2 linked regions of the Oryzias latipes genome follow. The protein of the gene in region 1 binds, or shares a complex with, the protein of each later gene. Links are inferred from orthologs where the notes say so. Each region holds a gene or a part of one and is shown on either strand. Other genes may lie near its edges.

Region 1 (15,654 bases):
AATAAAACATTTAAACATGTTTTAATCTTTGAAACAAGCAGAAGTGAAAACATTTGATTAGAAAGATGTGCTGAATGACATGTAACCGAATAGAAGATATTAGCATTAAAAGTCTAAACCTGGGACGTTTTCCCCTTTGGTGGAGCTTAAACAAGAGGCACGAGTGTGTGCAGCTCGCATTAACCAGCAGAGAGGAGCGCTTCTTTCACTCACTGGCTTAACCGACGGGGGTGGAGACATTAATTCTCATCGGAACACCAAAAAAAAAAAGGTTTTTACAGCTTTTCATGGTGCCGATATTTCCTAAAATTCTTCCCATACCCATGTCGTTGCCGTAGTAACATGAGATTTGTCAAGTGGTTTTGTGTGGTTCCTTATGAACAAGTCAGATTTTTGTGAGGCAACTAGCACTTTTATCATACAAGTTTGGACTGACAATTGGATTAAACAAAGGAAACTGGTCTATCGGTGTAACATTAATGCAGTCTGAAAAAGTTCAAGTGATTTCACGTTTTTAAGAGGTTGTCCCTCTGATGGGTCACAACACCAAGAGATAGGCCATAGGGTTGTGCCGATGGACGATATCATCGTCCATCGTGATGGGTGACTGACATCCCGATGGAGAGACCACCATCGTGATGCCACGCCCCCGCCACGTTGCGCGTCGACACCATAAGCCGCGGTTACATGTACAAAATATCTTGATGGGATCAATGGTCGGATTGGAATCCAACCGTGTAGATGGGCCCAGAAAAATGTTTTCAGAATATAAAAACGTTCACTAAGGTCACAATTTCGGTCGGAATAAATCATTCGCACATGCGCAGTATTCGCACATGCGCAGTTTGAAAACCGGAAGGGGATACAACTTCCGCCGAGCGGCTTTTTTTTCCAAACTTTATTGGATGTAACAATTCAATACAAAACGATAACAGCACCGAGCGGCTATATATATTGACATGTCAGCTCGGTAAAATACGAGACGATCTTCTAAAGGCCTGTTCACACCGGGACGAATTTCGCCGGCGATTTTCGCCGACGTTTAACGCCTCGTGACTAAACAAAGGGCACCAACGAGAGTGTGCACACCGACGCGAAAAAACGCCAGGCGTTAAAGCGTCAAAAAAAAAAAAAAAACGCCTCGACCAATGAGAATGGCGCTTTTGCTCACGTGTCTGGAGCTTCTGAAGTTACAGTAAAACACAACTTGGGGGCGCTCAAACACAAAACTGCCTTGCTGAGCACACATACCAGCGAAGAAGATAGACGCCAAGTAGCGTCTACACAACCGCGAAGCAATAATGACGGACATTCTAAAATATCCCCGAACCAAGCACCAGTTGGAGCTACTGGTGCTTGAAATATTCATGTTTTCTTTGTTTGATTCTGACAAGCGTGTAAATACTTGCTCTCTTCTTCTGAGTGAAAAGCGACTTTCAGAAGCGTAAAGTTGCGCAGCGCCACCTTGTGTACAGGAGTATTTCTGTTTTACATTAAGCGCCATCTAATGTCAGGGAATGAAATTGCATGTTCACTCCACTCATCGTCAGCGAAAATCGCCTGGGTGTGAACACAAAAAACGTGGCGAAAAACGCTGGCGAATAACGCCTGGCGAATATTCGTCCCGGTGTGTACGGGCCTTAAACGTGCTTTTAATAATGTTACGGTTATTATCAAACACCTGTTCGCTCATCATTTGAATTTTAATCCGTGTGGTCAGTGCTTTTTCTGAACGGAGCCAGGATTAGCAGTATGCTAACACGGGCTAACAACATTAGCTTTGGGTGGCGCTGCACGTAAACGTGTAAGAATAACATCAGCCTTTATTTAGTCGGGACACGACTGGAAACACAAATCCACGTGATTGTTTGAATGTTTTCTAAGGACTGAGCGACATTTCTGCTTTGATGCTCAAACCGCTGTGTGTGCTGACGATCCGAGCTGTGCTCAGACACACACGTTTAGACCCGGTTCTGAGTTCGGTTGCTTGTACCCCTAGAGCTGCAGGACGGATCGCAGTCTTAAATCTCCCACACATACCGCTCATGTACCCCCCCCCCCCTTCCCATCAAACACAAAGCTTTAATTCCGCGCTCCGCCGGTCCACTTCACTAATTAAGTGCGGGAGCGACTACACTTCTCTTCTATTTTGCTTGTTACTTTTTCTGTTAAAGTCACTTCCCTCAGTTTATACTGGATCATCGCGGATTAGTCATTAGTTGGGAAATAAAATGAAAAAAGCAAAAAAACGAATAGCAGTTATATAAGAACGAAAAATGTAAAAATACAACCCCCCCCCCCCCCCCCCCACGATGTCATCGTCCATCACGATGGTTGTGGGTGGAGACATTAATTCTCATCGGAACACCAAAAAAAAAAAGGTTTTTACAGCTTTTCATGGTGCCGATATTTCCTAAAATTCTTCCCATACCCATGTCGTTGCCGTAGTAACATGAGATTTGTCAAGTGGTTTTGTGTGGTTCCTTATGAACAAGTCAGATTTTTGTGAGGCAACTAGCACTTTTATCATACAAGTTTGGACTGACAATTGGATTAAACAAAGGAAACTGGTCTATCGGTGTAACATTAATGCAGTCTGAAAAAGTTCAAGTGATTTCACGTTTTTAAGAGGTTGTCCCTCTGATGGGTCACAACACCAAGAGATAGGCCATAGGGTTGTGCCGATGGACGATATCATCGTCCATCGTGATGGGTGACTGACATCCCGATGGAGAGACCACCATCGTGATGCCACGCCCCCGCCACGTTGCGCGTCGACACCATAAGCCGCGGTTACATGTACAAAATATCTTGATGGGATCAATGGTCGGATTGGAATCCAACCGTGTAGATGGGCCCAGAAAAATGTTTTCAGAATATAAAAACGTTCACTAAGGTCACAATTTCGGTCGGAATAAATCATTCGCACATGCGCAGTATTCGCACATGCGCAGTTTGAAAACCGGAAGGGGATACAACTTCCGCCGAGCGGCTTTTTTTTCCAAACTTTATTGGATGTAACAATTCAATACAAAACGATAACAGCACCGAGCGGCTATATATATTGACATGTCAGCTCGGTAAAATACGAGACGATCTTCTAAAGGCCTGTTCACACCGGGACGAATTTCGCCGGCGATTTTCGCCGACGTTTAACGCCTCGTGACTAAACAAAGGGCACCAACGAGAGTGTGCACACCGACGCGAAAAAACGCCAGGCGTTAAAGCGTCAAAAAAAAAAAAAAACGCCTCGACCAATGAGAATGGCGCTTTTGCTCACGTGTCTGGAGCTTCTGAAGTTACAGTAAAACACAACTTGGGGGCGCTCAAACACAAAACTGCCTTGCTGAGCACACATACCAGCGAAGAAGATAGACGCCAAGTAGCGTCTACACAACCGCGAAGCAATAATGACGGACATTCTAAAATATCCCCGAACCAAGCACCAGTTGGAGCTACTGGTGCTTGAAATATTCATGTTTTCTTTGTTTGATTCTGACAAGCGTGTAAATACTTGCTCTCTTCTTCTGAGTGAAAAGCGACTTTCAGAAGCGTAAAGTTGCGCAGCGCCACCTTGTGTACAGGAGTATTTCTGTTTTACATTAAGCGCCATCTAATGTCAGGGAATGAAATTGCATGTTCACTCCACTCATCGTCAGCGAAAATCGCCTGGGTGTGAACACAAAAAACGTGGCGAAAAACGCTGGCGAATAACGCCTGGCGAATATTCGTCCCGGTGTGTACGGGCCTTAAACGTGCTTTTAATAATGTTACGGTTATTATCAAACACCTGTTCGCTCATCATTTGAATTTTAATCCGTGTGGTCAGTGCTTTTTCTGAACGGAGCCAGGATTAGCAGTATGCTAACACGGGCTAACAACATTAGCTTTGGGTGGCGCTGCACGTAAACGTGTAAGAATAACATCAGCCTTTATTTAGTCGGGACACGACTGGAAACACAAATCCACGTGATTGTTTGAATGTTTTCTAAGGACTGAGCGACATTTCTGCTTTGATGCTCAAACCGCTGTGTGTGCTGACGATCCGAGCTGTGCTCAGACACACACGTTTAGACCCGGTTCTGAGTTCGGTTGCTTGTACCCCTAGAGCTGCAGGACGGATCGCAGTCTTAAATCTCCCACACATACCGCTCATGTACCCCCCCCCCCCTTCCCATCAAACACAAAGCTTTAATTCCGCGCTCCGCCGGTCCACTTCACTAATTAAGTGCGGGAGCGACTACACTTCTCTTCTATTTTGCTTGTTACTTTTTCTGTTAAAGTCACTTCCCTCAGTTTATACTGGATCATCGCGGATTAGTCATTAGTTGGGAAATAAAATGAAAAAAGCAAAAAAACGAATAGCAGTTATATAAGAACGAAAAATGTAAAAATACAACCCCCCCCCCCCCCCCCCCACGATGTCATCGTCCATCACGATGGTTGACAGCAAACATCGTCAACGGCCAAATTAGGGGACATCGCCCAACCCTAATAGGCCATAGAGTTCTATTAGAGTTCTTAAATGTTCTGATGCAGGTTTAAGGGCCAACTTCTTTTTTTTTTTAATATCTAGTGAAAAACCATGTAATCCAGATTCCAATAAAGCATTTGACCCTGTACGAGGGCTCAGGCAACGGATGCTGTCAACTGGAAACACGACGACTGAGAAGGCTGGGGTTGGAGATATGAAGACAGAAGTGTGTGTGTCAGCGGTTTTTCCTGATGGCTCCCTTGTGTCAAGGTGACCTTGGCATTTGAGTGGGGCCTTGTCATGCACAGTGTGTAAAACGTGTCGCTTCTAGAAGCCATTTTTTATTGACCACAGCAGCGTGTCCCAGTAGCACCACTGCACTCGTGGTGGGTTAGTGAATCTTTGGCCTCTTTCTGGAAGAAAGACAGGTTTTAGATTCTAGACCTTTGGTCATTGCTTCCATCTTAAATTCCAAGCTTAAACTGTGGTTTTGATGGTCTTTATACACTGGTGGCATTCAAATGTGTGTGTTTTTTTGTCTGTCTGCTGTTAGCAGCCCAAATGGTCCACAATACAGTCTGTTTTTTTTATAGATATGTTAGTTTTGCTAGAATGTTTTACCTTTACCTCATTAAGGCAGAAACAAATACAACTACAAGTTTGATAATCGCTCAAAATCCGTATTTTCTTCGCCTCTGAGTTGTGGGTGAGAGCTCTCTGTTTATGACCCGGCCGGCGTACTTTCGATGTCACAAATATGGGCTTTTTTCAAACGACCGATGTTTTCAGACAATTTGAATTCAGATTTTGAGCTCAATTTTCTCAATAGACGTCCTCCATCATCCGAAAAATGACACATAAAACAGCATTTTCATTGGAGTGGATCTTTAAGATCAAATCCTAAAATCCATTGATGGATTTTCCTTTAAAAAAGGAATTTCTTGGATTGTTTTTTGATTTAAAAAAAATGGTTTTCTTTCGGCTTTTATATTAAGAAGTTGTGATTGGTTGTGTAAAAACTGTTTTTTAATAACCAACTGAAATGAAAAGCTGAAAAAAATCAATCACCAAATGGACTAAATGTATGCAAGTGAACATTATTATGGCATTCATTTGTTGGGTGGGTGAAATAAAGTTTGAGAATCATACCAGAGCATCTGCTGTCAGAGGCTGCAGGTGACTCATGGATGACAGAAACCAGCTCCAAAATCAACCTCATTATCAGGATCGTTCTTCCAACTGAACCTACCAACTTAGATGAGTAATCACGACAGCACACGGCAAATACTTCATGTCTCTTTACCCAGAAACTGTAGCAGTTGTTCATGTATTTCTGTGGCAACACCTTTTCCTTTCCCCCTCATAGAAACATGCATTAGGCTTCAACAACTTGACCCACATCTGCAAAACATTAGATTCTCTTTTGGTTTGTAGCTCTTCTCAGTTTACTTCCTCAAATTGCTCTTTTTTTGTTTTTTTGGTTGAAGTGGAGATGTTGTGGATTGTTTGGTCTACCTGGTTCTGCAGGTGTGGAAGGTTATAGTCAAATCTGTTGCATCGTTAACAAGCTTGGAAATCAGCTTGTAAGTGAACTCTGATGAGGTTCAGCAACAGTGTGAATGCAAACAGACTGAAAAGAAGTACAGTGATCCCTCGTTTTGGTAAAAATAACCTGCGTTAGGTGAAGTTCGCAAAGTGGAATGATCGATGTTTTTAGGCTGTAAAGCCCCTCAGGACACTCTGCACTTTGATGAACATTTCAAAACTATTATCTCTCGTTTAAACTCTCAAATAAAAACATAAAAAAAGATCTATTAGCTACCAAAGATTGAACACACGATGTTCAAGAGGCACTTAGGTTGGGTCCGAATTCCTTCACTAGATAGTGCGTTCGCCATTTTGTAGTGTTGTTCGAATATAAAATTTTAAAATTCAGTGCCCTACAAATTTTCCAGAAGTCGCTGTGAAAAACCAGTATGCATCGCTGCTCACCACAATTTAGACCACAATGCATTCCGTTTGAACAATTTTTGCGAAATAAATCTGTTTAAATGTTTTTTTTAGTAAACAACCAACATTTTTGTCACCAGTGGATTCAAAAATATTCGTTGTAAAATACTTGTATTAATTCGATTTTAACTTTGTGAAATTGGTGACGTCTTATTTTCCGTTTAAAAAAAAATGAAAGTATTAAGATTGATTGACAGTGGTCTACAGCCGATTAGAACACAATGCACTATAAAAAAAAATAATAAAAACATGCAGAATTACTCTAAAATGTTTCCAAAAAGTGAACCACAACATAGTGAGGGACCACTGTGTATCGAAAACTGATGAGAATTTGAGAAGGAAACTTTACTCAAATCAGAAACAGCACCAACTTTTTGAGTAAGAAAAAAAAATCCTTAAAAAAAGTCCATTTAGTAAACATAATGCTTTAAGGAAGGAAAAGTCCTTTTTTGGGCAACACTGCCCTCTAATGGAGCAGCCTGTAAGTGCAGGGCATTTCTTGTAGTTTGTCCACTCTCAAAGGTGCAGTGTGAAAGCAAAAACAGAAGTACTACTGTTCAAGTATCAAGCATTTGATTCTTTATTTATTTTGTTATTTTAGGAATTCTGTTTTCCATAAAATGGTACGATGCAAGTCTTTGAACTCGCTTCAACTCTTGGCTAGCTGAACGCAAAACAGGCTTTATCTGACTTTGAACATAATCAGATGGGACCATCTAGTAAAAATATGGCAACAGACACAACACAAAAACCAAACTGGTTTGTGCGGTTTACTTGGTATTCAAAGGGTTTTTCGCTTTTTCCCGGAACGTCTTTGATGGTTCTGTCGATCAAGAAAACAAATAAAAGAAAAAAATCAGTTTGAGATGTTTAACAAGTTTTTTTTTAAAATAGAATCACACTTTTTCATTGTTTATATATCCTTACAGCTTCAAGATTGGCCTTGTTTTTAGCTTCTTTTTCATTTAAATGATGTATGTTTGCGTTATCTTAGCAGTCAAGCTGAAGGAGTTTGTGTGCATTCAGCTGACAGACATAGGCCAAGGCTCCCGGAAGAAGTTCACATCCAGAAATGTCCTCTTCATTTACCATTTTTTCATCAAATTCCTACTTTTATGTTTAAAAGAAAAATGTTTTCTCTTGCTTTGTAGACCCTGCTACACTGCGCCAAGAAGAGACCATAATTATTGCCCTGGCAACGGTCGCCGTGCTGGCCGTGCTCATTGTAGCAGCCTTCTGCGGTTACCGCATGATGCACGGTGAGTTACCATGGCGCTGAGCTTGCGAGGAAGAGAGCAGGAATCGTCATCTTCGAAGGTCGCTAGAATGTGCTGCAAGAACCTGAGTTGTTGTGTTTTTCTGTTGTTGTTGTCGTCAGGAGACGGGAAACAGGGCCTGCACAACCTGAACATGATGGAAGCTGCTGCCTCCGAGAGCTCCCTGGACCTGGACAATCTCAAACTGCTGGAGGTCGGCCACGCCAGCTTCCCCGTTTCTCCGTCTCTGGGGGTTTCTAACTTTCAAGCGACTGCAAAAAAAAAAGAAAGAAAAAGAGAGCCATTAGAAGCTTGTGTAGCACTACAGGGGCTTTTATTTTTGCACCACTTCAACCGAAAAATGGAAAGTTTTTTTTTTTGGGATATAAATTGATCTTTTTATACTGAAGTAAAAAAGCTTCTGAGAAAAAAAAAAAAAAAAAATTCCACGCTCTTACCGGCTTTTAAAGAAACACAAGAGGAGAAAGAAGAAACCGAAGGAGAAAAAAAATATAAAAAATGATGCGCCCAAAAATACATCAAGGTTTATAGTTGCATTTGTCATTTCAATGTGACTTTTATCATCCGACCATGGCAGCGCGAATAAAGCTCCGGGTCAGGCGTATAAAAATAGGGATGTGCTTACACTGACACCGGATCTGGAAATGGGAGAGCCAACATTGTGAGAGGACGTCAATATAGTTTGCATGAAATCGAACCACAGTGACTGTTTAAGCAGATAAAGGCAAACTAGCCAAGGAACCAGGTTGTTTGTCTCTGCTCCAATTTCCGAAGCAGGAATAGGCTGAGATATATATATATATATATGTGTGTGTATATATATGTATATGTGTGTGTATGTGTGTGTGTGTGTGTGTGTGTGTGTGTGTGTGTGTGTGTGTGTGTGTGTGTGTGTGTGTGTGTGTGTGTGTGTGTGCAGAGGAAAAATTGGAAACTGAAAGTAGAAAAAGGTGAGCAGGTGCGGCAGCAAAACATTTAACAAAGAAGCCTTCGTCAGTGGATTTTGATTTTTCTGATTTTGCAGAGGATGACTCATGCTAACAAGGCGGCCTCCCTAATGTGAAGCAAACAACACGAGGCCCCTGAAGCTTTCAGCATAATTCTCTCTGATGCATTGGATAAAAATATAAACCGGCGTTTATAGTAGAGGTTAATAGACTTTCCATTTTCCCTGCGGGTCTGGACACGCTTTTCCAAATGACCACATGCAGGTAAAGAAGAGTCAAAAAAAAAATTAGCCCTAGATGTTATTATTTTTAGTAGTGCTATTTTTGTACAGCGCCTTTTTGAATTTAAAGGTGCTTTCCGGAGATGCAGAAGGCTTTAGCAACATGTAAAAAAAAACATAAATAAAAGGCGAAATTTAACAGAATGTGAAACTAATAACCACTCAATAGTGTCTGCTTTGATCCTAAAAACATGCCTGATAAATAATCAATTACACCAAATAAAAATTGGGGAGGGTGAGTAACAATCCCCTAGTGGCTCTGTGATGAACTACACTTTAGCTTTTTTAATGAGCTTTAATAAGTTGACTTTTTTTTTCTTTCAAATTACGCCACAGTTTTTCATTCTAATGCAATCATTTTACTCTAAAACATTTTTATATACGTTTTTTTTATTCAAGTCACGCAAACCAGTGTTGAAAAATATAATGCTAGTGATCAGAAGCTAATGTCTTAGCATGTTTATCAACATGTCGAGTAAAGTTAGAACAAGCCTAAGATAGGGACTTGGGACTTAAAACTGGGACTTGAGTTACACTTAAGAGTCAACCTCAAAGACTTGAAACATAAGGTTTCAATATAAAAGTGTCTCAAAGAGTTTTTTTCAGAGATCCAGAAAGCTTTAGCAACGTAAAACATGCAAAAACTAACGGAAAAAACAATGCAAAATAAAAAGAGAAACGTGACAGTATGTAACACTAAGCTACTTTATATTATCTGCTTTAACAAGAAAAGATTCAAAAAATAAAGTCAGAAAACAGTTACAAGCCACAAGCCCCTAGTGGTTATGTAATGAACTGCACTTTTGTTTTTTAAAGAGCTTCAATCTGGAAGTTGACATATTTTAAGGGAAATTACATCACAGGTGTTAATTGTAATGCAATCACCCGACTCTAAAACATTTTAATATACCTTTTTTTTAATCAAATCATATAAATTAGCCTTCAGATTAGAGGCTAAAGTTTTAGCATGTTTTTTGACGGTCAAGACAAAGTGGAAAAAAAAACAAAGATAGGGAATTGGGACTCGAACTTGAAGCCTTGAATGAAGAGACTCGACCTCCAAGACTTGAAACTTGAGGTTTTTGGACTTGAGAGCAATATTTTATTTTAATGTTTTAGCTCCAGAACATGGCTTTCAGGTTTACAAAATAAAAGCTCCTTTTTCTTGGGAACATAGAAACATCAACTGCCTGTTTTAATTGATTTAAAAGTAGATTATTGATTATTTGTGACAATAAAGTATTAATTTGAACTGTTTTAAGAAATTAAATACAGAGACTTGGGCTTAAAAATGATGGATTTCATTTCCAAAACCCGTCGCAGGGCTTCTGGTCTGCAGCCTCGTTGTCTCCCTTTAGGCGTAGATGGGGTGCAGTTGAATTCCGAACAACGTCCTTGCGTCTTATCATGTGCACACGCTCTCTCACATTAAACTCGTTGCCTGTGGTGGGGGCGGGAAGCCGGTGGAGCCTCAGTCACAGACTAAACAAGTTCATTGTTTACCAGGGTTTGTTTTCTAACCCGAGATAAAGTTTGGAGGCAGGAATTAGAGCCATGTTAATGCGGCCCTGCGTTCTCGTCGTACTGCCGTGGAAACGGCTCTTTAAGGCGGAGTGGCCGGGGCCGCCTTAACAGCATGTTGCGCTCTGGGTAATTCAGGGCACTAATTGAATGAGTTTCAACCCGCTCTGCAGTTCCCGTGCTCAAAGGCCGCCCCAGATCTGAACGGGTTAACGGTGTAATCGAGTTGCTGATGGGTAATTTAGTTTACCTCCTCTATCTCTTCCTTCTGACTCTTGTTTCCCCCTTAAGATTTTTCTTTCCTGTGTAATGTTGTTTGGTGTTAATAGATTAGCAAAGTTGTAAACGTATGAAACCCACAGGATGTTGAGAAATTTACCTTTTCTCTCTCCCGCCCTTCCCCCCGCCTCAGCTGATTGGACGCGGCCGGTACGGCGCCGTGTACTGCGGCTCCCTGGAAGAGCAGCCCGTCGCCGTGAAGGTTTTCACCGTCGGCAACCGCCAGAACTTCCTCAACGAGTGCTCCATCTACCGCCTGCCGCTGCTGGAGCACGACAACATCGCTCGCTTCATCGCCGCCGACGAGCGCACGGGCCCAGAGGGGCGCACCGAGTACCTGCTGGTCATGGAGTATTACCCACACGTGAGCCTCCTGCTGTTACTAGTCCACGTTTTCAGGCAAAAACACAGCTCTTCCTCACACCGATAATAACAAAAGCTCCACATTTGTTCAGTTTGATTCCCTTATTATTTAAAAACCAAACAAAATTGACTTTTGGAATAAAGAATAATCGATTTAATTCGCTTGCGTCGGGTCTTAAACCAAATTGATGGAAGTGAAACTCCAGCTTTGATGATGCCGAGAGGATGAGGAGAATATCAATAAGAACGAGGATTTTTAGAAACGATGCCCAAAATTAGGAGGAGAGCTGTTTGTTTTCCTAGTATTTTTGGCTGTTTCTATTGGCTGTTTCTAAAAACCAAAGATTAACACCCTTTATCAGTATACAAATGTCTCATTGTTTGAATTTTCCTCCTCAGGGTTCCCTAAGTCACTATCTGACCCTCCATACTAACGATTGGGTCAGAAGCTGCCGGCTGGCCCACTCGGTCACGCGTGGCTTGGCCTACCTGCACACGGAAATCTTTAAAGGGGGTAAGCTGGGGTCTACAGTGTGGTGTTTCACCTCGCCTTCCAGAGTGTTCTCTCGCAGTATTTTGACAAACAATCATGTACACAGTGCATGCACGCCCTGCTCAGGGTATTTATAGCCTTTGCCTGCAGCCAGTTAAAAAAAAAAAAAGAAGAAAGAAAAAAAGGGAGAAACCAGGGAGGCGGATAAATTATGAGGATGTGTGTGGCTCACTGCTCTGTCGCCGGGCCTCGGCCTCGCCGGCCGTACTTTCCTTTTTTCTCCTCATCAGCGTAGATAAACATCAAACTGCACTAAAGTGACGTCCAAGTCAAAAGAATTGATGTGATTTGGGTAAAAACGCTGAAATGATTCAGGAGTGATGAGCACAGGAAGCTGCAGGGACGGCAGAAAACCACAAGCCAATGGTACGAATCTGCAGCTGCCTGGCTGCACCACCTGCTGGACAGCGCCTGGAACTGCAACCGGCGGGGGCGATTTAAAAAGGAAAAAAGAAGTTTGTGAACTTTTGTCGTTTTGTTTTTTTTCTTTGTAAAGACTTGTACAAGCCGGCGGTGTCGCACAGAGACCTGAACAGCAGGAACATCCTGGCCAAAGCCGACGGCACGTGCGTCATCATCGATTTCGGTCTGTCCATGAAGCTGACGGGGAACAGGCCGGCGCGCCATGGCGAGGAGGAGAACGCCGCCATCAGTGAGGTAAAGACCCAGGCAAAGCTGTTTTATTAATAATATTTGGGTTTTTTAGACTGTCATTTCCAAAATAAAGCTTTGTTTGTCCTTTTCACTGTAATATGTATGTGACTGGAACATGAAACCTGGTTTTCCCCACACATCCCCGTCTTCCAGGTGGGAACGATCCGCTACATGGCGCCGGAGGTGCTGGAGGGCGCCGTGAACCTGAGGGACTGCGAGTCGGCTCTGAAGCAGGTGGACATGTACGCGCTGGGCCTCGTCTACTGGGAGACGTTCATGCGCTGCAGCGACCTCTTCCCAGGTGAGGAACTCTGTCGGACTTTTTTTTTTTTTTTTTTAAGTCTGCGTCCCCCTTTTTTGTTGTTTTGGAAACGGATCTGATCTCAGAACCCATCGTCCGCCCGTCCCTCTGCCTTCCTGCAGGAGAGTCGGTGCCAGAGTACCAGATGGCTTTTCAGGCGGAAGTGGGGAACCACCCAACTTTTGAGGACATGCAGGTCCTGGTCTCCAGGGAGAAGCAACGACCCAAATTCCCAGAAGCCTGGAAGGAGAACAGCCTGGTAGGTTTGTGAGGAGCTGAGCCAGAGTTCACCGTCTGCCAGGCGCAGAACTGCTCTGGATTCTGTAACAAAAACTGTTTTTTTTAAATAAAACAACCATTTTGGGGGGAAAATCTATTTTTTTTTTCAAATCCAATATCAAGTCTGATAAACTGCTTGCGTCAAAGGAAACCGGTGTTTTGAGGGTATTTTGTCTAAATGTCTCAAAGAACCGTCTGAACATTTCCATTCTACTTTCTCAGCATGCTTCGTTTTCTTAGTAACTCACATCGTCTGTGGTAAAAACAGACCCGTTTGACTGTAGCTCAGATCCACATGAACGCCGGAGCAGTTCTGATCCACGGATCATTACACTAAAGGGCTACAGCGGTGGGGGAGGGGCTTTGGTTCAGCATCCAAACAAAATATCAGGAATCTTTGTATTACATCATCAGCAATTAGAAGACGAGCTGTGATTGGGGTCTTCTCCAAATAGAAAGTCACTCCTGACTAAAGAACAGGTCCCTGCAGTTACGCCAGTGATCTGTGATCGTCTCTTCTGCTTCAGGCCGTCCGCTCTCTGAAGGAGACGATGGAGGACTGCTGGGACCCGGACGCCGAGGCTCGCCTCACTGCCCAGTGCGCGGAGGAGCGGCTGGCAGAGCTGCTGCTCATATGGGACCGCTCCAAATCCGTCAGTCCCACGCTCAACCCCATGTCCACCACGCTGCACAATGAGAGGTGGGTCCCCAATATGACCCTTTATCAAATATACACTAAAGACCTGCTTGTTTGGTATAAAATATAAAGTTTCTAAAAGTATTGGCCCGAGCTCAGTGCCCTGTGGTACACCATATCTGATAGCTTTACAAGTTCCTCAGGTTGTCAGGGGTTCCAATTCCAGACTTGGCAGTCATTGGGTCCAAATATCCTTTCATTTTAAGAAAATCTGTTATGAATAGTATTTTTTAATAAAATTATTAATTTGTACATTAAAACTAATAGAAAAGAATTTGAAACTATAAAAATATTGGCCCGAGCTCAGTTCCCTGTGGTATGCCATATCTGATAGCTTTAGCTTTACAAGTACCTCAGGGGGGTTTGTGAGGGGTTCCAATTCCAAGTCAGACAGTCATTGGGTCTAAATTTCTATGTATTTTGAACGTTTCATTAATAAAGTTACAATATTGTACATAAAAAATGAACATGAAAACATTTTATTGAAAAAAATGCAAGTGCATATCAAGATCAAAAACGTTTTGGCCTGAGTTTAGCACCCTGTGGTACACCATATCTGATAGCTTTAGCTTAGCAAGTTCATCAAGTGGTCAAAGGTTCTGATTCCAGACTTGTTAGTCATTGTGTCAAAATTTCCCTTAATTTAAAAAGTTTCCTTCATAAAATTTAACATTCTTAAATCAAAAAGTAAAAAAAAACAGTTTTAGTAACTGAAAAAATGCAAAAGTGCATATTAATATTAAAAAAAGTATTGGCCCAAGTTCAGTGCCCTGTGGTACATCATATCTAATAGCTTTCGCATAGCAAGTTCATCAAGTGGTCAGGGCTCTTGGCAGTCATTGTGTCCAACGTTTCCTTCATTTTTAGAAAATCTGTTGTTCATTTTTGCTAAATATTATTTATTTAGCAAATAAAATAATATTATTTTGACGAACAGCCGGAGACCTTGAGCTAACCCTACCAAAATAATGTCAAAAAGCACATGATTCAAGTCGTGAGGACATCATTGGCTTCTGTGCTCAAACCTTTATCGCAAAACTTGAGCTACGATGTCAAACTTTTCATTCACGTCTTTGTTTTCGTCCCATTAACTTTTTACAGAAACCGTATGACCCCAAAGAGCGGCCCGTACACTGACCATCCCTCCACGTACATCGAGGAGCATGAAGGAGTCCCCAAGAACACGCAGGCCGACGCCACCAACTCCATCACTGGCAGATCCGGGGCCGGAACCGGAGAGAGAAACAGGAACTCCATCAACCAGGAGCGCCAGCAGCAAGCCAACGCCCGCCTGCCCAGCCCAGAGGGCGGCAGCACCAGCATGGGCCAAAGAGGCAGCCCCTCCACCTCCACCACAACCACCACCACCACCATCTCGGAGTCAGATGGTCCCGCTGGGGTCACCTCGGTCCCCGTCTGCCTACACCTGACCCAGGAAGACCTGGAGACCACCAAACTGGATCCTAAGGAGGTGGATAAGAACCTGAAGGAGAGCTCTGATGAGAACCTGATGGAGCACTCACAGAAGCAGTTCTGCTCTCCAGACCCGCTGAGCCCGGGCAGTTCCAGCCTGCTGTACCCCCTCATCAAGATGGCCAGCGAGGCCTCGGGAACGTCCGACTCCCCTGCGGCGATGCCCAACACCATCTTCCCACTGCCCAAGCAGCAAAACCTGCCAAAGAGGCCGTCCAGTCTGCCACTGCGCAACAAGCCCGCCAAGAAGGAGTCGTCCTCATCCTCGCTTCGGTTCAAGTTCGGACGCTCGGGGAAGTCCAATCTGCGACAGGTGGACGGAAACAAGATGAACGTCGGTGCAGGGACTGGCTCGAACTCGACCGAGGCCCACAGGGGCGCCGGCACAAACAACGTTCCAGCAATGCGGGACGCACACGCCAACGGGAGCGTGAACGTCAACGGGCTCACAGCTGCAGGGATGTCATCCATGGCGCCCGGCGGAGCGGCGGGGTTCGGAGGGCCCAGCATGCTCCAGAACGGGTCCGGAGCCCTGACGTCCGACG
Region 2 (15,654 bases), about 4.5 Mb from region 1:
ACCCCGATTTAGCTTTGTGGACTATTAGCTGGGCTACTAACCCTGCTGCATTTGGATCCAGCCATCTGCTTGTTCTTGTGACAACCGCAAAGGAAAGCGATGTACTGATCGTCAGCATTGGTTAAATAAAGCATCGATTCAGAGAGAAAGTTCACCTCTTACTGCTTGTTTTTGTCCAGATAATGAAGCTAAAGTTTATTTTAAAGAAGCCAACGCAGTGATATAGAACATTTGGGCTATGTGAACTTTCCTCTTCACCCTATATACATCGGACTTCACACACAACACTGACAGCTGCCACCTCCAGAAGTTCTCTGATGATACAGCCATTGTCGGGCGGATATCTCAGGGAAGCGATCTGGAGTACCTGGAGGTCATCACCAACTTTGTGGACTGGTGTGCTCTGAACCACCTGCACATCAACGGCAGCAAGACGAAGGAGGTGGTGATCGACTTCAGCAGGAAACCACATCTGACTGCACCGGTGAACATCCAGGGCTTGGACATCGAGGTCGTGGAGGACTATAAATACCTGGGTGTTCACCTAAACAATAAACTGGACTGGACACACAACACAAATGCCCTGTACAAGAAGGGCCAAAGTCATCTCCACCTGCTCAGACGACTGAGGTCCTTTGGGGTGTGCAGGACACTGCTACGAACTTTTTATGACTCTGTGGTGGCTTCAGCCATCCTTTATGCAGTGGTCTGCTGGAGCAGCAGAAGCTCGGAGAGAGACAGGAAGAGACTGAACAAGCTGGTAAGACGGGCCGGCTCTGTCCTGGACTGCTCCCTGGACTCCATCGAGGAGGTGGGTGAGAAGAGGATGTTAGCCAAGCTGACATCAATCATGGACAACCCTTCTCACCCACTGTATCAGTCTGTTTCAGACCTCAGCAGCTCCTTCAGTGGCAGACTGCTGCACCCACGATGCAAAAAGGAACGCTACCGCAGGTCCTTCATCCCAGCTGCCATCAGGCTGTTCAACACCAGCCTAAGTAAATAGTTTCATAGTTTTTGTTTTTTATTCACTGTACAAAACTGTATATACAGATGACCTCTATATACCTGCACATCTCTTTCCCTGTTTATTTATCAGAACACTCTTACTTTTGTATGTATTCTTTCAAATGTGTGTCTGTCTAACTTGTCATTACTGTCTGTACATACTTGTGCCAAACTCCATGCTACTGTGACAAGGAAATTTCCCATTCGTGGGATTAATAAACAAATCTAATCTAACTTCTTTTTTAGAGCGTGCATTATCACTGTGGATTATCACTTTTTATACCATGGTCTGGGTAAATACTCAATTCTGATTGGCCGCTGCTTGTGCTCTACAGTTTTTCTCCAATGGTTTGGCTCATTTCTTGAAACAGAAATTACATTCTCAAAACAACATGGACAAACCTCCAAACTACTTGGCAATTGTTCACAACAGAATGGAATTTCTCATTAATTTCATCAAATTGCAAATGTCTTAGTATATGTCTCAATGTCTCAGTACATCTTTGCAAAATAATTAAGTACAGGTAGTCTTCATTTAGCACAATTTCCAAGTGAATAGATCTTGTTGATCCAAACTGTTGATTCTCAGTCTAATGGTTGTTCGCTCCAAAATGAGTCAGCATCATTTCATTGTGTAAGTCATCACATGCACAATATGACTCTTCTGTATGACTGATTTGATGTTTTCTTTTTTTACGCCATTGTAGAGAATAATGGCATTGGAAGGAAATGAGACTCCTCAAATCCTCGTGTTTGTGGATGAAGCTGTGGATGAAGCTGGCCTTAATATTATTGCCCACTGGGCCACGGTGGATGTCCCAGGCCAGCGAGGGGGCAATATAACTATGTGTGCTGGCATATCTGAGAATGGTGTGGCCAACCACATCCCCAGTCTTGGCCCATACAATACACAGAAGCTCCTCATCTTCTTGGACCGCCTTCATTTTGATTTGATCCCTGAAAATGAGAGAGATCTCTTAGGGCCTCACCCACCACTATATGTTATTGTACGGGACAATGTGAATTTCCACCGTGGCCCGCTCACAGGGCCTGGTTCACTACTCATCCAACGATGGTCATAGTGTTCCTTCCACCTTACTCTCCTTTCCTCAATCCTATTGAGGAGTTTTTCTCCGCTTGGAGGTGGAGAGTGTATGAGCATAAGGCTCAAGATCAGAAGTCCCTGCTCCATGCAATGGATGCTGTGTGTGAGGATATTACTTGAGATCAGTGTAGGGGATGGTTACAACATGCACGCCGTTTCTACTCTCGTTGCATCACAAGGGAGAATATACGCTGTGATGTGGACGAGAATCTGTGGCCATACAGACAGCAGCGTGTGGACGGCCAGCAGGGTGAGGACGATGGCCAGGAGAAGGAGGGTGAGGACAGCGACCAGTGAAGAACTAGTTGTGAAACTCAAGCATCCTTTACAGCACTGTAGGCTGCATATCATTTTCATTGTTTTTTGTTTGTGTGTAATTATAAAGTACATTATAGATAGATAGATAGATAGATAGATAGATAGATAGATAGATAGATAGATAGATAGATAGATAGATAGATAGATAGATAGATAGATAGATAGATAGATAGATAGATAGATAGATAGATAGATAGATAGATAGATAGATAGATAGATAGATAGATAGATAGATAGATAGATAGATAGATAGATAGATAGATAGATAGATAGATAGATAGATAGATAGATAGATAGATAGATGACTTTATTAATCCCACAATGGGGAAATTTAATTTATCTGTGACAGCAACACGGCATTCAGAAATAATCTATATAATATAACATCAATAAAGGACATCACATTGACAAATGACAAATGACATTTATATTAAATAATTAAAAATATTACTAAAATTATTATGAAAAAATTATTATCAAAAATTAGATTCTTATTAAATAAAGAAATAAATATTAAATATTAAATAAATACAGCTGCAAAAGTGTAAAAAACATGCGGTCTGCAAAACATGTAAACTGTAAAAAAACATTACAAATTTTTTCAAAATACAGAAATAACTAATGAAGTTCACACCAAAAACAAAAACAAACAACTGTTCAGGAATAAAAATATATGCTGTATACATTTTCTTTTTACTCTGATGTATGAAAGTTACTTTATGTGTGTGAATGATAACGGTTACGATTTCCTTGGCAGTATGAGTGTAATGTGTGCTGGTAAACCTAAGAGGCTACTCTTAACCTAAAATCCTTTTTCTTTTTTTCCGTTTTATACAAAACTGTATTCTGTTAACTATACATAAACAGTACAGTAAACATTGTCAATGGTTCAACATTGATGGTAATGTTGATCAATTTCTATGTTTCTGACAGACCTTTCCTTAATTTCTCCCTCTTCGCAAAAGGTTTGGACCAGGGGTCACCAACCCTGTGCCCGCGGGCGCCAGTGCACCCCTTGTGGCGCCCGCAGGGAATGCACCCAAAAAAAATATATTTTTTTTTTTTATTGAAGCAAATATTCAACAAACAACCACGGCATGTCTGTCAATGACAACAATATCAATTCTGAGATAAAGGTAGACAAAGAAAACCATTAATGTGAGGATTAATATTCCTGTCTGTTTTTATTTACATTTATGTTTAAAAAGTTAAAATAAAGTTAAAGTTTTAAAGGTTTAAAAGTTTATTTTTAGTGTGTTCAATAAATATTTATCTTGTCCGGCTGCAACCTAAAGTCTGTTTTGAAATTAGGCTCCCTCTGCAACTGAGTTTGACACCCCCCCCCCCCCCCGTAATACGAGTCTAGAAAATTCATGCATGTTTTTGTGTGTAAAATGAGCAAATAAAAATAGGGCACACAAAAGGAAGTCCTCAAATTGTGTTGTTTTTTTTTGGGGGGGGGGGGGGCTAGGAGGTTTTTAGTGGCGCCCTTCATACCACTTGGTGCCCATGAAATAGCCCTCGGTCTCAAAAAGGTTGGTGAACCCTGGTTTGGACACCCTGTGTGAAGTAACCCTTGTGCTATCCTGGGCACTTTAACATTGGGAGTTGGGTCATCTAGACCCACTAGACAGTGCTCTGAACCTTTTTTCTTCAATGATTTGTGATCTTCACTGGTGTCCATGGATTACATGAAATATTTCCACCTTTATCCACCTTTGTCATGGTAGGGAGAACATGTCAATGTAAGGGTGGGGTCATCTAAGATAGCACAAGGGACAAACAGTAGAAAGCTCAGTTTACCAGCTTCTTGAGGCGCTCACTGATGCATGTTGTAGTTTGCGTGTTTGGATCAAAGATGGCGCCATTTCCCCACTTTTCACCCTGATGTCAGGATCCGGAGCCGCTGGAGTGTTTAGGAGTTCACTTCCTCAACTTTTAACCTTGCATCTTAAATCTCTGAGCCAAAGAGTTTGCCATCATGAGGATTCAGACGCCTTGTGTTGTTGGAGGAGTGTGCCGGCGGTGGAGGTGGCGGGGGGTCTGGACTCCTCAGTCAAAGCAGTCAGCAAGGGTCAGAGGTCGACGCAGCTCTCGTGCCGTGATGGCCGGATTTGGTTTTGCAGTTTTTACTAACAAATGTCTGGAACGTCAAGCAGTGTCACTCGACCTCAGCGGGTCGGATCGTGTTGCATGAAAAAACGCACCGGGACATTTGAATATGGAGATCGTCCGGCCTGAGAGCTCCAGATTCAGGGCCTTTGTCGCTTTGTCATGTTTTAGTTTCAATCAAACTCTGACATGGGGAAACAGCGGGAAGTTACATCCTTTTCCAACAGACAGGGGAACTTTGAAGGACGCATATTAAAATCAAAAGAATGAATATTGCAATTGGTGCCAAACTGTAGCTGGAATAGGGTTGACGCAGAAGCTTCATGACTGAGTTTCCGGGAACTTTACTCCACAGTTTGGAAAATATTACAAAGCCAATTCCCCTTTCTAATATTTGGGAAAAGCTTTTTTTTTTTTTTTTTTATCTTATTTGTCCGTTTTGTAAATAAAAGCCACACAGCCACCTCTCATGCCCCAGTGATCAGACACTGCACCTTAATTTCTCCGCTTTTTAACTTTTGGATTTTCAAACTAAATCCTTATTGTTTGTTTGTGTCATTTTATTAAAGACAAGTGTTTCTAAACTGGAAAATGTAGTAATAACTAGACCAAAACTTTTTTTACAGTTCAAGTTGCTTTTTAGTTTTTGCATAAATGAAAAAATGCATAACCAATGTATATTTTGCACTGTAAAGCTAAATGTGATTTGCCTCCTCAAGAAAATTGAAATCTGAAAGTATTAAGGTTCAAATCTGAAAAGCTTCTCTTTCTTTTTTTTTTAAAAATAACCTCAATGTCAGCCAGTCTCATTAAATCTGGAGGCTGAGTGTAGTAACCTTGTCAGAGATAAATCAAATTTCTTTGTTACTATTCTTTCCCCCCAAATATAGTAAATTCACAAACAAAATAAATGTTCCAAGAGCAGAAGGATTTTAACAGTTGCTACTCTGCACAGTTTTGTCATTTTCACAATGCAGAATTTGGATTTCATTTGTCCCATAGCAGACATCAGCATCAGCAGGAGTTTTGTGCTAGAAAGTTGAACTTAAAATATGTGTTAACAAATAAAGATTTTTTTCCACTGATTATTAAAAATGAACAACTCCCAAAGGATATTGACGTCTGCAATTTAACTGCCATTTGAGGGCGCGTTGGTAATGCCAAACTCTGGCCTTACGGAAAGGTTCAAATCCCAGCTGGGACCTTTCTGTGTGGAGTTCTCCTTGAGCGTGTGCGGATATCCCCCACTCCGGCTACCTCCCACAGTCCAAAAACATGCTTCATAGGACCTGTTTAGGGTGTATCCTGCTTTTGCCCAACAGTAGCTGGATAGGCTCCAGCAACTCCGTGACCCTGACAAGGATTCTGCAGGTTCTGAGGATATTTCAGAGCTTCTCACACAGACATTGTACACCACTGTTTTCCTGGCAGTTGATCATGCGCGCCGGTGTTTGTTGTGTGACGGGGGTGTGGCTCCACGCACACGCTCAGGCTGACAGCGAAGGGGTTCCTCAGGGAGAGCTGCTTTGCCCCGCCCACAGTGTAAAGTATAAAACTTTTGGGTGCGCAACGCCTCGAGTCTTACAAAACGCCAGGATGGAGACGCTCCTGCGCGCGCTTTCTGGCACAGCTCCCTCTTCTCCTCCTTCTCTTCATCAGACCGGGATTTCCCACCCGGGACGCTCAGGCTTGTAGAGACAGAGAGAGAAAAAAAACACAAGTGAGGAAGAGGATGGTGCCTGTGCACACAGGATGCTGTTGCGGAATTTGGATCTGGTTCTGTGGAATAATATGTTGACAGATCCGGACGACTGATGGTTTTGCTGAGGATGAGCATCCACATAACGATGTAATTTCCCAGTTTTCTGCGCGCACAGATCTTTGAGTGAAGCTGCATCCGAGTGCGTGAGAGCCGAGCGGCGCGCGCTCCGCATGGAGACGGCGCGGCTCTGAAGGATCCCTTTTTTCTGTCTGTTAATGACTTTGACTCTGGGAGCAGAAAGAAAACCTGCCTCCACTCTTTCTCACACAGAAAATGAGTAGCTGTCCCCTCCGGCTGGCTCTCCTTGTGGCTTGCGTCCTCTATATTCGCTGCACCACTGCGCCCGGCACCGAGGCTCCCCGGGGCGCGTGTGCGTCCTGCGCCGCCGCTCGGTCCGAGGACGCCGAGTCGGGGCGCGTGGACGGGGACTTATTAGAAGCGGTGAAGAGACACATTCTGACCCGACTGCAGCTGCGGGAAAGACCAAACATCACGCACCCTGTGCCTAAAGCCGCCATGGTGACTGCGCTGCGGAAGCTCCATGCGGGGAAGCTACGCGAGGACGGCAGGGTGGAGATCCCGGACCTGGATGGGCATCCGATGAGCAACGAGGTTCTGGAGGAGAGCTCAGAGATCATCAGCTTTGCGGAGAAAGGTGCGTCATGGAGACATTTAAATTGTCCCTTTTACGTTTTTTTTATTTTAAACTCACGCGTCAGGTTCGCGCTGCAACAGAGACAAAGGAGATTAGAAAAGCTGTTGAGAGAAAACGCTTTAGATTGATCCTTCATGATAAGGCTTCCTGACAGCCGGCGCACTGCAGGCAGCAATGCAATAGACTGGACACTTGTTGTTCTGGGCACATATCGTATAAAGTAATATTAAATCTGAAGTTGACGCGCGCAGTCGTGCGCTCAAGCAAAACAAACTACAGCCGAATCTGTGCGTTATTTGGTATTTGGGCCCCTACTGCTGGGTCCTTTTCTCATTTTTTGTTGATATTTTAAAGCATTAAAAACAAAGATTCAGTTTAATCTGAAACAAAGTCAGGAAGTTTCTTCTGGATGCCAAACGGAGAGCTTAGGAGTTGGAGCGGCTCTCCGCGTCCCAGCACAGAGACGCACCTCACCCGGCCCGGAGAGGCTGAGGAGGCAGGAGGTGGTCAGTGATGTCTGCTTGTTCCCACGTGTGGGGTGTGAGCGCGCGTGATTTTTATTTTTTTGGTTGGAGTGTTTTTGCACTATTGCGCGCGTCTGTTTCAGAGCTTGGAGCGTTTTCTTTGGGTTGCGCAGCCTGAATGCTGAATGCAGATTGACGGGATGCTTTTGCCTTTGTGGCCTTAAAAAAAGAATCATGTTCGTGCACAAAAGGCAGGAAAGAATCAGTCAAACATTAGCGCCCAACATTAGGAACCAAAAGCTGATAAATCTGGACGCGTTCTTCTCCAAAATCAGCATTTTGTCAAATCGAATTTTTCTCAGGATAAAAACGTTGAACTTTTGCAGAAGTTTTCCTCTTGGCTCAAACTCTACCATTTTTTTTCCACGCATGAAATTTCTCTGAGATGTGTTTGAAAAGGAACTGTTCACATGTAAAATGTAAGCAATAAAAATACCTTAAGGCTCTGTCTGTGGATGTTCGCAACTCAACCCAAAGCTCTTGTTTTCTTTAATGTCAACATTTTCCAGAAAACAACTTTAGATTCGGCTCATTGTCTTCACTCTGATGGAGCTGCCAGGCTCAGCTTCTGCTAAGTTCTGGCCTTGGAAAAAGGGATGCCAGATTGATTGCTGTTTTAGTCTAGTTTTGGCACATTGAGCCTCGGATGGGCCGCCTTGGGGTCGTGTGAGGTGAGCCGAATAAGGATCATGTGCAACTTTTGGTTGGGACTGGAACTGATTTATTTCAAGCAATCAGAATGAAAAATACTAAAGAAGGCAACAAAAGCAATCTATACCTATACATAGATGTATCAAACTTTAGATGAATAATCATGAATTCATTGGAAAAATAAAATAGAGGATGCTTAAACATCCAAATACATGTGTTAATGATATCACTAATCAATAAATTGACACATTTGTAAATATAAATTCAATATTTGACACTTTGTATCGATTAAATGTTAAGTCTGTCAAAAGGCGTTGCTTGAAAAGCAGTTTTTGACCCTTCATCATATAAGGTTCATAAAAAATTGGAATCATCTTACAAGCACAAATTTCAAACTAATAAAGTATTTACCTTGATTTATTTTCCATCAACATCCAAAAAGACTCAGTGTTGATGCAGAATTCATGAGAAAAAAACAGAATCATTTTGAGGATGTGAAGAGGAAGGGAGCAGCTCTCTTGTCCAGGATGAGATTTAAAGCGAGCAGCATGCGTGTTCAGAGATCAGACTAAAGCGTCCCTTGTTGTAAAGCTTTTGAGAATCTGTTGTATTTTGAAATTTGCAAGACATTTCTGCACATTGGAGCCTGAACCTGCTCCAATGTTCCTCCCCTCCACAACCATAGGAAGGTTGATGCAGACTCAGAAACCTTCTCACCTTTGAATGACGAGCCATGAAATTCCATAAATCCTCCATTGTCCATATTTTGCCATGATCACGGGCCCTTACATGAGTTCTGAAAGTTCCAACATCTGATCTTCTTCATCTGACAACTTGTCGGCGACTTCCTGCGTGTCGTCTTTGCCTTTAAGTCCTGAACATTAGAAACGCAGAAATACATCAATGAAGCAGAATTACGTTTATGTTCTCGCAGAGAGAGAGAGAGTGGATTTAGAGCTGCAGGGGGGAGTGTTAAAGGGGTACACAATCTCTGGAGGGTCTGGAAGAAGGGAAGGATTCAAAATGTCCTGGTGTTTCTTCCACAAGCCCAATAGGTGATGTTTCTTGAAGCAATGATTTCACACTCTAAAAACTTCATGGTTAAAAAAAACAACCCGATTTAGCTAAACTCCTAGGTTAAAAACTTTTTGGTGGGTTTTAACTCTGGAAAAAAAAGGATAAAGTTGATTAAAATGAAACCCTGCGATAGACTGGCGACCTGTCCAGGGTGCCCCCTCCCTGGATAGGCTCCGGCAGCCCCGTGACCCCGAAAGGGAATAAACAGAAGAAGATGAATGAATGAATGAAACCAAATCTAATCTAACTCCCCAAAATTGGTATTACTCCAAAACGTTACCAAAAAATAAATCCCAACACGAATAATCCAAAAATTGGGTTGAAGAAACAACCCAAGTATTTTAAGATTTCGTGTTTAGGTACGATTTTCGACTCAATCCGCTATCATTTCCACATGTTTGGGTTAATTTCATGGGGTCTTAGGTCTTCTCCTCCTTGTAGCAGACATGATACACCAGCTCTACTGTCTGATGTTGTTGTTGAGGTGTTTGTCTTGTCCTTCTCAGATGACCTGGTCACATCTAAGTCCAGCCTGTTCTTCCTGATCTCCAGCGAGGGAAACCAGAACCTCCGGGTGATCCAAGCCACCCTGTGGCTCTACTTTAAGCTGCTGCCTTCTCCGACAGAGGAGCGCGGCAAGCGGAAGGTGACGACGAAAGTCTACTACCAGGAGCCCGGCCTCGGCAGCAAGTGGAACCTGGTGGAGAAGCGGGTGGAGCTGAGGCGCAGCGGCTGGCACACCTTCACCCTGACGGAGGCCGTCCGGCTGGTGTTTGAGAAAGGCGGTGACAGGCGTCAAAACCTGGACGTGCGCTGCGACGGCTGCGAGGCCGAGGGCGTCGTGCCCGTCTTGCTCAATCTGAATGACGACTCGCACCGACCTTTCCTGGTAGTGCGGGCGAGGCAAGCAGACGCAAAGCACCGCATTCGGAAGCGGGGGCTGGAGTGCGACGGCAGCAGTGACCTGTGCTGCCGCCAGCAGTTCTACATAGACTTCCGGCTAATCGGCTGGAATGACTGGATCATCGCGCCGTCGGGATACTTTGGGAACTACTGTGAGGGGGACTGCCCCCCCTACATGGCGGGGGTCCCCGGATCGGCCTCTTCCTTTCACACGGCCGTGGTGAACCAGTACCGCATGCGGGGCAAGAGCCCCGTCTCCATGAACTCCTGCTGCATCCCCACCAAGCTCAGCACCATGTCCATGCTCTACTTCGATGACGAGTACAACATCGTGAAGCGGGACGTTCCCAACATGATTGTGGACGAATGCGGTTGTGCGTGAGGGCCCAGTTGAACTGAGAACTCCACACAATATTCCAGCAACTAATGCATATAGAATATTTATGGACAATGAAGAAAACGTGCACACACCCACTTCCACAAGTATCTACACATCCCCATGTATGCCTGCACAGAAACTTGTACATATATTTATGTTTGTTGACTTTTTTGGTCATATCCAACATAACCTCGGCCGTATCCGTTCAGCCCCCTTCTCTTCTTCATCGCTTTGAAAACAATCAGCTTCTCATTAGATATCTCCAAGATGGTGAGGAAGACTTTGGTCCAGCCTTTGCTGAGCTGCATAATCAGATAAAATGCTGCTGCTGTCGGCTGAGTTGTTCAGTAAATTTAAAGCTACATTCACACCGCCCCCGGCAATGCGCGTTCAAGTGGCTGCTTCCAATGGACAGTCTATGTAAACACCCGTTTTGGGCTTCCACGTTCAAAACGCTACGCAAGTTTCTACAACCGTTTTCGGGCTATATGCACAAAACATGCATCCATTGTGTTGAAAGTTAAACCAGTTAAGATTTCAGTCAGGCACTCTGATTTGGTAGTGACGTGTGGATGGCGTTCCTTTTAATTCACGGAAGTACCAAACATTGGAAAATTGATGATGAGGGACAGATTAATAATTGTGGTTTGTGTTTGGCTGGAATTCTATGACACTGAGTCTTTCATCTATCAGAATAGAGAAAAAGCCTGGAGCAAGATTCAGGAGATTTTCATCACTTTGACATTTGGCACACAGTCTATACCAATATGTACTAGAATCAGGCAGCAATCTTGAACAAGCGTCACGTGAACGTAGCTTTAGGCGGAAAGACCAGATCGTCTCTTCATGAGGTGAAGGGGGGCCTTACCCAACAAATCAGCTGTGAGCAGCAACTATGAAGCCTCCTTTAATTAACAAACAGCACTTCAGGCCTGCAGTCACAATCGTTTTTACCGTTCCGGCAACAAAACAGAGCTTTTTCTTTCAATAGAAGGCAAAAGATGGAGATGTCATTCCTGAAGTCTGAGAGAAAAACCATGTCTGGTATTAAATTTAGTTTAGAGATACAGCAGCAACACAAACTCCGATATATGAACTGTTACTATTATCATTAGTAATATCTTTTACATATTGTATGTTATTAGATTTGCATTAAACAAGCATTTCTAATTGCGAAAGGAAAGTGAAACAAGAAACACCTTAAAACCATTGTTCTCGTTGATTAAATCAAACGTTTTTCAATCAAATTCCTACATTTTTGTCAAATCAACAAACCACAGAACATCAGGAACAACATCTCCCTTCTCTGCCTGCCTTTTGGAATCAAAAATGTCTGGTTGACGAAGGTCCTTAACTCTTGTTTCATTCAGTGAAAGCGAGGCATTGCCATATCGGTGAAGCTTTGCACTCCCGGACGCACACTTTGAAAGCACTTGCAGATTGAAAATGCCTTTAAGAAGCCCTCGGCGATGCGTCATTAGAGTCTCTCTAAAGTAAATGAATGCCGCACGAGCTATGCAATGTATAGTCTATACCCACAAATCCGACAACTAAAGCCCTTACTGGACAAACTATCAGTAATACTTGAAATGTGAGAGTGGCAGGCTGAGACGGGCGGGGTTTCAGGAGGGAGGAGCAATCATGAGACTTTTAAAAAATACGTCGTCCAGAACTTACTGTATGGAAGCTTTTCAGTCCAAAATTGGAGGTTGGAGGAGCAGTGATGAACTCAAAACTAGAAAACAGCATCATCTTTAGGTTTCTATGATTACAAAACTGTTTTTACATGAAAAGAAAACATGTTTCAGGGACAAAATAAACAGATAATGTTAGTTTGGAAATATAATTTAATGACAATCAGTAAGGTATTTTTTAATTACATTACAATTATGAATTATTGACTGAAATGTTTAAAATGACTGTTTCTAGATGCTAAAAGCACAACAGATCATAATAAGTGTTTACATTTTTTTGGGTATCTATGGCACATGGTGAGAAAAAATAAATATTTTTTTGTGGTTAAAAACGTATTTTACTGAAAGTAAAAAACTAAAAACTCAACACAACCAGTCAACTGGACAGCTGAGTTGGTTTATAAGCTTAACACTGAAGTTTGACCACCTGAAAGCACTAAGTGCTGCAGGTCACTGAAAGATCAACAGATGCCACTTTATCTGGATTATTTTAGGTTTTGTGTTCTTCTAAAGGCACTTGCTGGATGTTACAAATGATGATAAGCTTCCTAAACCTATTTGTGCACATGTTAACAAAAAAGTAAACTTAAAAAACACTGAAGTTATCAGGGCTCAAAGCCAAAAGGAGCTTCATCTGACATCTAAAGTTCACCACATAGGAAAGAAAATGATTTCATGGACAAATAATATTTATTTTTAAGATGTATTTATTTTTCAATATCTAGAAAAACATAATTAAAATTGAGCCTTCACAAAAACTTTACTTCACAGGCAGTACTAACAATGCCCACCTGTGTATGGGTGCTTTTGACAGAAATTTGGAGACAGTAAACCTTTGTTGCTGTCACGACACAGATTTTATTGCAAAGATTTGTCTTTATTTCTTTCCAGTTTTTAAAAGTTGCGACCTAAGTTTCAGGATCTGGTGATTTGAAATCAAATTTGCCACATTTTGTTAAAGTGATCAAGTCCTCAAGTACATCTCTGCGGTACTCCATAACAGATTTTATTACAAAGATTTGTCTCTATACCTTTGAAGTTTTCAAAAGTTGTGACCTAACTGTGTTAATTTGAAATAAAATCTGGAAAATTTTGTAAAAGTTATCAAGCCCTAAAATATATCCCTGATGGACTCCATATCAAATTGTGTTTCTAATTTTGGACTCTGTCACCTTTGAATTTTACTTTCCTGATTTGTTTGGACAAATGGAGGTGTCTTTAGTTGGTAAATGTAATTTGAGACATTTGAAATTGGAGATTTTGTAAGGATACTAGCCGCCAACAAGTCTCACAGAGATGACCAAACCTGTTTTCATTGTCAGACATGACGTGCAAGTGTATGTGCAAAGAACACTGAAAACACTCACTAAGAGTCACTGAATGACCTGTTGTGCTTTTCGACGATACAAACATCATAAAAGTTTATCTCACAAAATAAAATGGGATGCTGGTATGTAGAGAGGCAACCGGCGGCAAATCGCATTACAAACCCTGATTTCAGACGAGTGCGCCCAAACCAACATACGTTTACAGGCCTGTTATTTTGCACGTCTGTGGCGTTTATTCACAAATACCTGAGCCCCACATCCTGCTTATTATCTCCTCCTGTCCGACGCCCGCCCTCCCCCTCCCTTGCCTGCTGCTGGGATCTCTTATTCTTCAAAGGTTGTTAGAGTATTTGCACTGAGGAGTTGCGTGACTCGAGTCAGAAAAAGGAAATAAATAGAACTGCCATTGAAAGAAAAGAAGCTATTTTTGTAGAACCTGAGCTCTGTTCTGATGAACCGCATTGTGGAACCAAAGAGGCCGCCATGTTTTCTTCGTGTTGTGACTTTGTGACAGATAAAGAGGCCTAATCACTGTATCAGGGTATGATATCAGTCAATATTCAGCTCAAGCTCTTTTCTATTTTGTACCAAGACATGGAAAATATCATATTTTTTCATCAAAGTACTTAAATATTCCTAGTTTTCTTTTCTTGTTTCATTAGCTCTTGAATCATTTAGAAAGAAGCACATGCCATCCTTGTACAGACCATGTAACATATAAATATGCTTTTGAAATATTTCAGTCTTTGTAATTGTTGAAAATTAAATTTCTTATTACCAGTCGTATGGGTGTGTTGTGTTGTGTTAGTAAGATGCTCCATAATGACTCAACGTCAAGGTTGTTCTCATAAGTGCAGATGATAATGGGTTGGTCTTTTCTTCCAGTTCTAAACTGGATGTGAAAAGTTATATTGTTATGGTCCGTCTTCAGATTAAAACAGTTTTTCAACAATGGAAGTTTTTGTATTTTCAACTTTCATTGTAAAGAAATTGACATTTTTAAACATATTAGTCAGCCACAAATTGTGCAAGTTCTGCCACTTAAAAAGGTCTGTAATTTTCATCATAGGTAAACCTCAACTATGAGAGACAAATGAGAAAAAGAAAAAAAATCCAGAAAATCGCATTGTCTGGTTTTTAAAGAATTTATTTGTAAAGCATGGTAGAAAATAAAAATTTCGTCCCCTACAAACAAGCAAGATTTCTGGCTCTTACAGACCTGTAACTTCTTCTGTAAGAGGATCCTCTGTCCTCCACTTGTTACCTGTATTAATGGCTTCTGTTTGAACTCATTATCTATATAAAATACACCTGTCCACATCCTCAAACCGTCACACTTCAAAGTCCACTATGGGAAAACCAAAGAGCTGTCTAAGGACACCAGAAACCAAATTGTTGACCTGCACCAGGCTGGGAAGACTGATTCTGCAATAGTGAAGAGCTTGGTGTGAAGAAATCAACTGTGGGAGCAATTATTAGGAAATGGAAGACATACAAGACCACTGACCATCTCCCTCCATCTGGAACGCTCCGCAAGATCTCACCCCGTAAGGGTCAAAATGAACAGTGAGCAAAACTCCCAGAACCACACAGAGGGACCTAATGAATGACCTGCAGAGAGCTGGGACCAAAGTAACAAAGGCTACCATCAGTAACACACTATGCAGCCGGGGACTCAAATCCTGCTGTGCTAGACGTGTCCCCCTGCTAAAGCCAGTACATCTGCAGGCCCTTCCAAAGTTTGCTAGAGAGCATTTGGATGATCCAGAAGAGGATTTGGAGAATGTCCCATGGTCAGATGAATCCAAAATAGAACTTTTTGTAAGAACTCTACTCTGGATGAGGAAGAATGCTGAGTTGCATCCAAAGAACACCATACCTACTGTAAAGCATGGGGGTGGAAACATCATGCTTTGGGGCTGTTTTTCAGCAAAGGGACAAGGACGACTGATCTGTGTAAAGGAAAGAATGAATGGGGCCATCTATTGTCAGATTATGAGAGAAAAACTCCTTCCATTAGCGAGGGCTTTGAAGATGAAACATGGCTGGGTCTTTCAACTTGACAACCATCCAAAACACAGTGCCCGGGTAATGAAGGAGTGGCTTTGTAAGAAGCATTTCAAGGTCCTGGAGTGGCC

The links.
Region 2: the proteins of bmpr2 (region 1) and inhbb are in contact, whole or in part, in a crystal structure (PDB 7U5O), measured with the Homo sapiens proteins. The link is inferred for Oryzias latipes from reciprocal best matches to the Homo sapiens genes BMPR2 and INHBB. Residues at the interface, in NP_001195.2 of Homo sapiens: Tyr40, Tyr67, Leu69, Val80, Lys81, Trp85, Ser86, His87, Ile88, Gly89, Asp90, Gln92, Ile108, Gln109, Tyr113, Phe115; in NP_002184.2 of Homo sapiens: Phe309, Asn318, Asp319, Ile322, Ala323, Pro324, Gly326, Tyr327, Tyr328, Thr379, Met380, Ser381, Met382, Leu383, Phe385, Asp386, Asn390, Ile391, Val392, Lys393, Asp395, Ile400.

What each region holds. Positions count from the first base shown.
Region 1 is NC_019860.2:15,317,197-15,332,850, forward strand, and holds part of bmpr2 (bone morphogenetic protein receptor type-2), read left to right. Parts: intron 1-7,040; exon of another isoform or gene 7,041-7,307; intron 7,308-7,635; coding exon 7,636-7,743; intron 7,744-7,752; exon of another isoform or gene 7,753-7,862; coding exon 7,863-7,954; exon of another isoform or gene 7,955-8,012; intron 8,013-8,198; exon of another isoform or gene 8,199-8,307; intron 8,308-10,922; coding exon 10,923-11,153; intron 11,154-11,551; coding exon 11,552-11,666; intron 11,667-12,201; coding exon 12,202-12,362; intron 12,363-12,512; coding exon 12,513-12,660; intron 12,661-12,782; coding exon 12,783-12,919; intron 12,920-13,466; coding exon 13,467-13,639; intron 13,640-14,737; coding exon 14,738-15,654. UniProt on the Homo sapiens protein: On ligand binding, forms a receptor complex consisting of two type II and two type I transmembrane serine/threonine kinases.
Region 2 is NC_019860.2:10,773,566-10,789,219, reverse strand, and holds inhbb (inhibin beta B chain), read left to right. Parts: upstream 1-4,167; 5' UTR 4,168-6,578; coding exon 6,579-6,960; intron 6,961-9,718; coding exon 9,719-10,497; 3' UTR 10,498-14,302; downstream 14,303-15,654. UniProt on the Homo sapiens protein: Inhibins and activins inhibit and activate, respectively, the secretion of follitropin by the pituitary gland.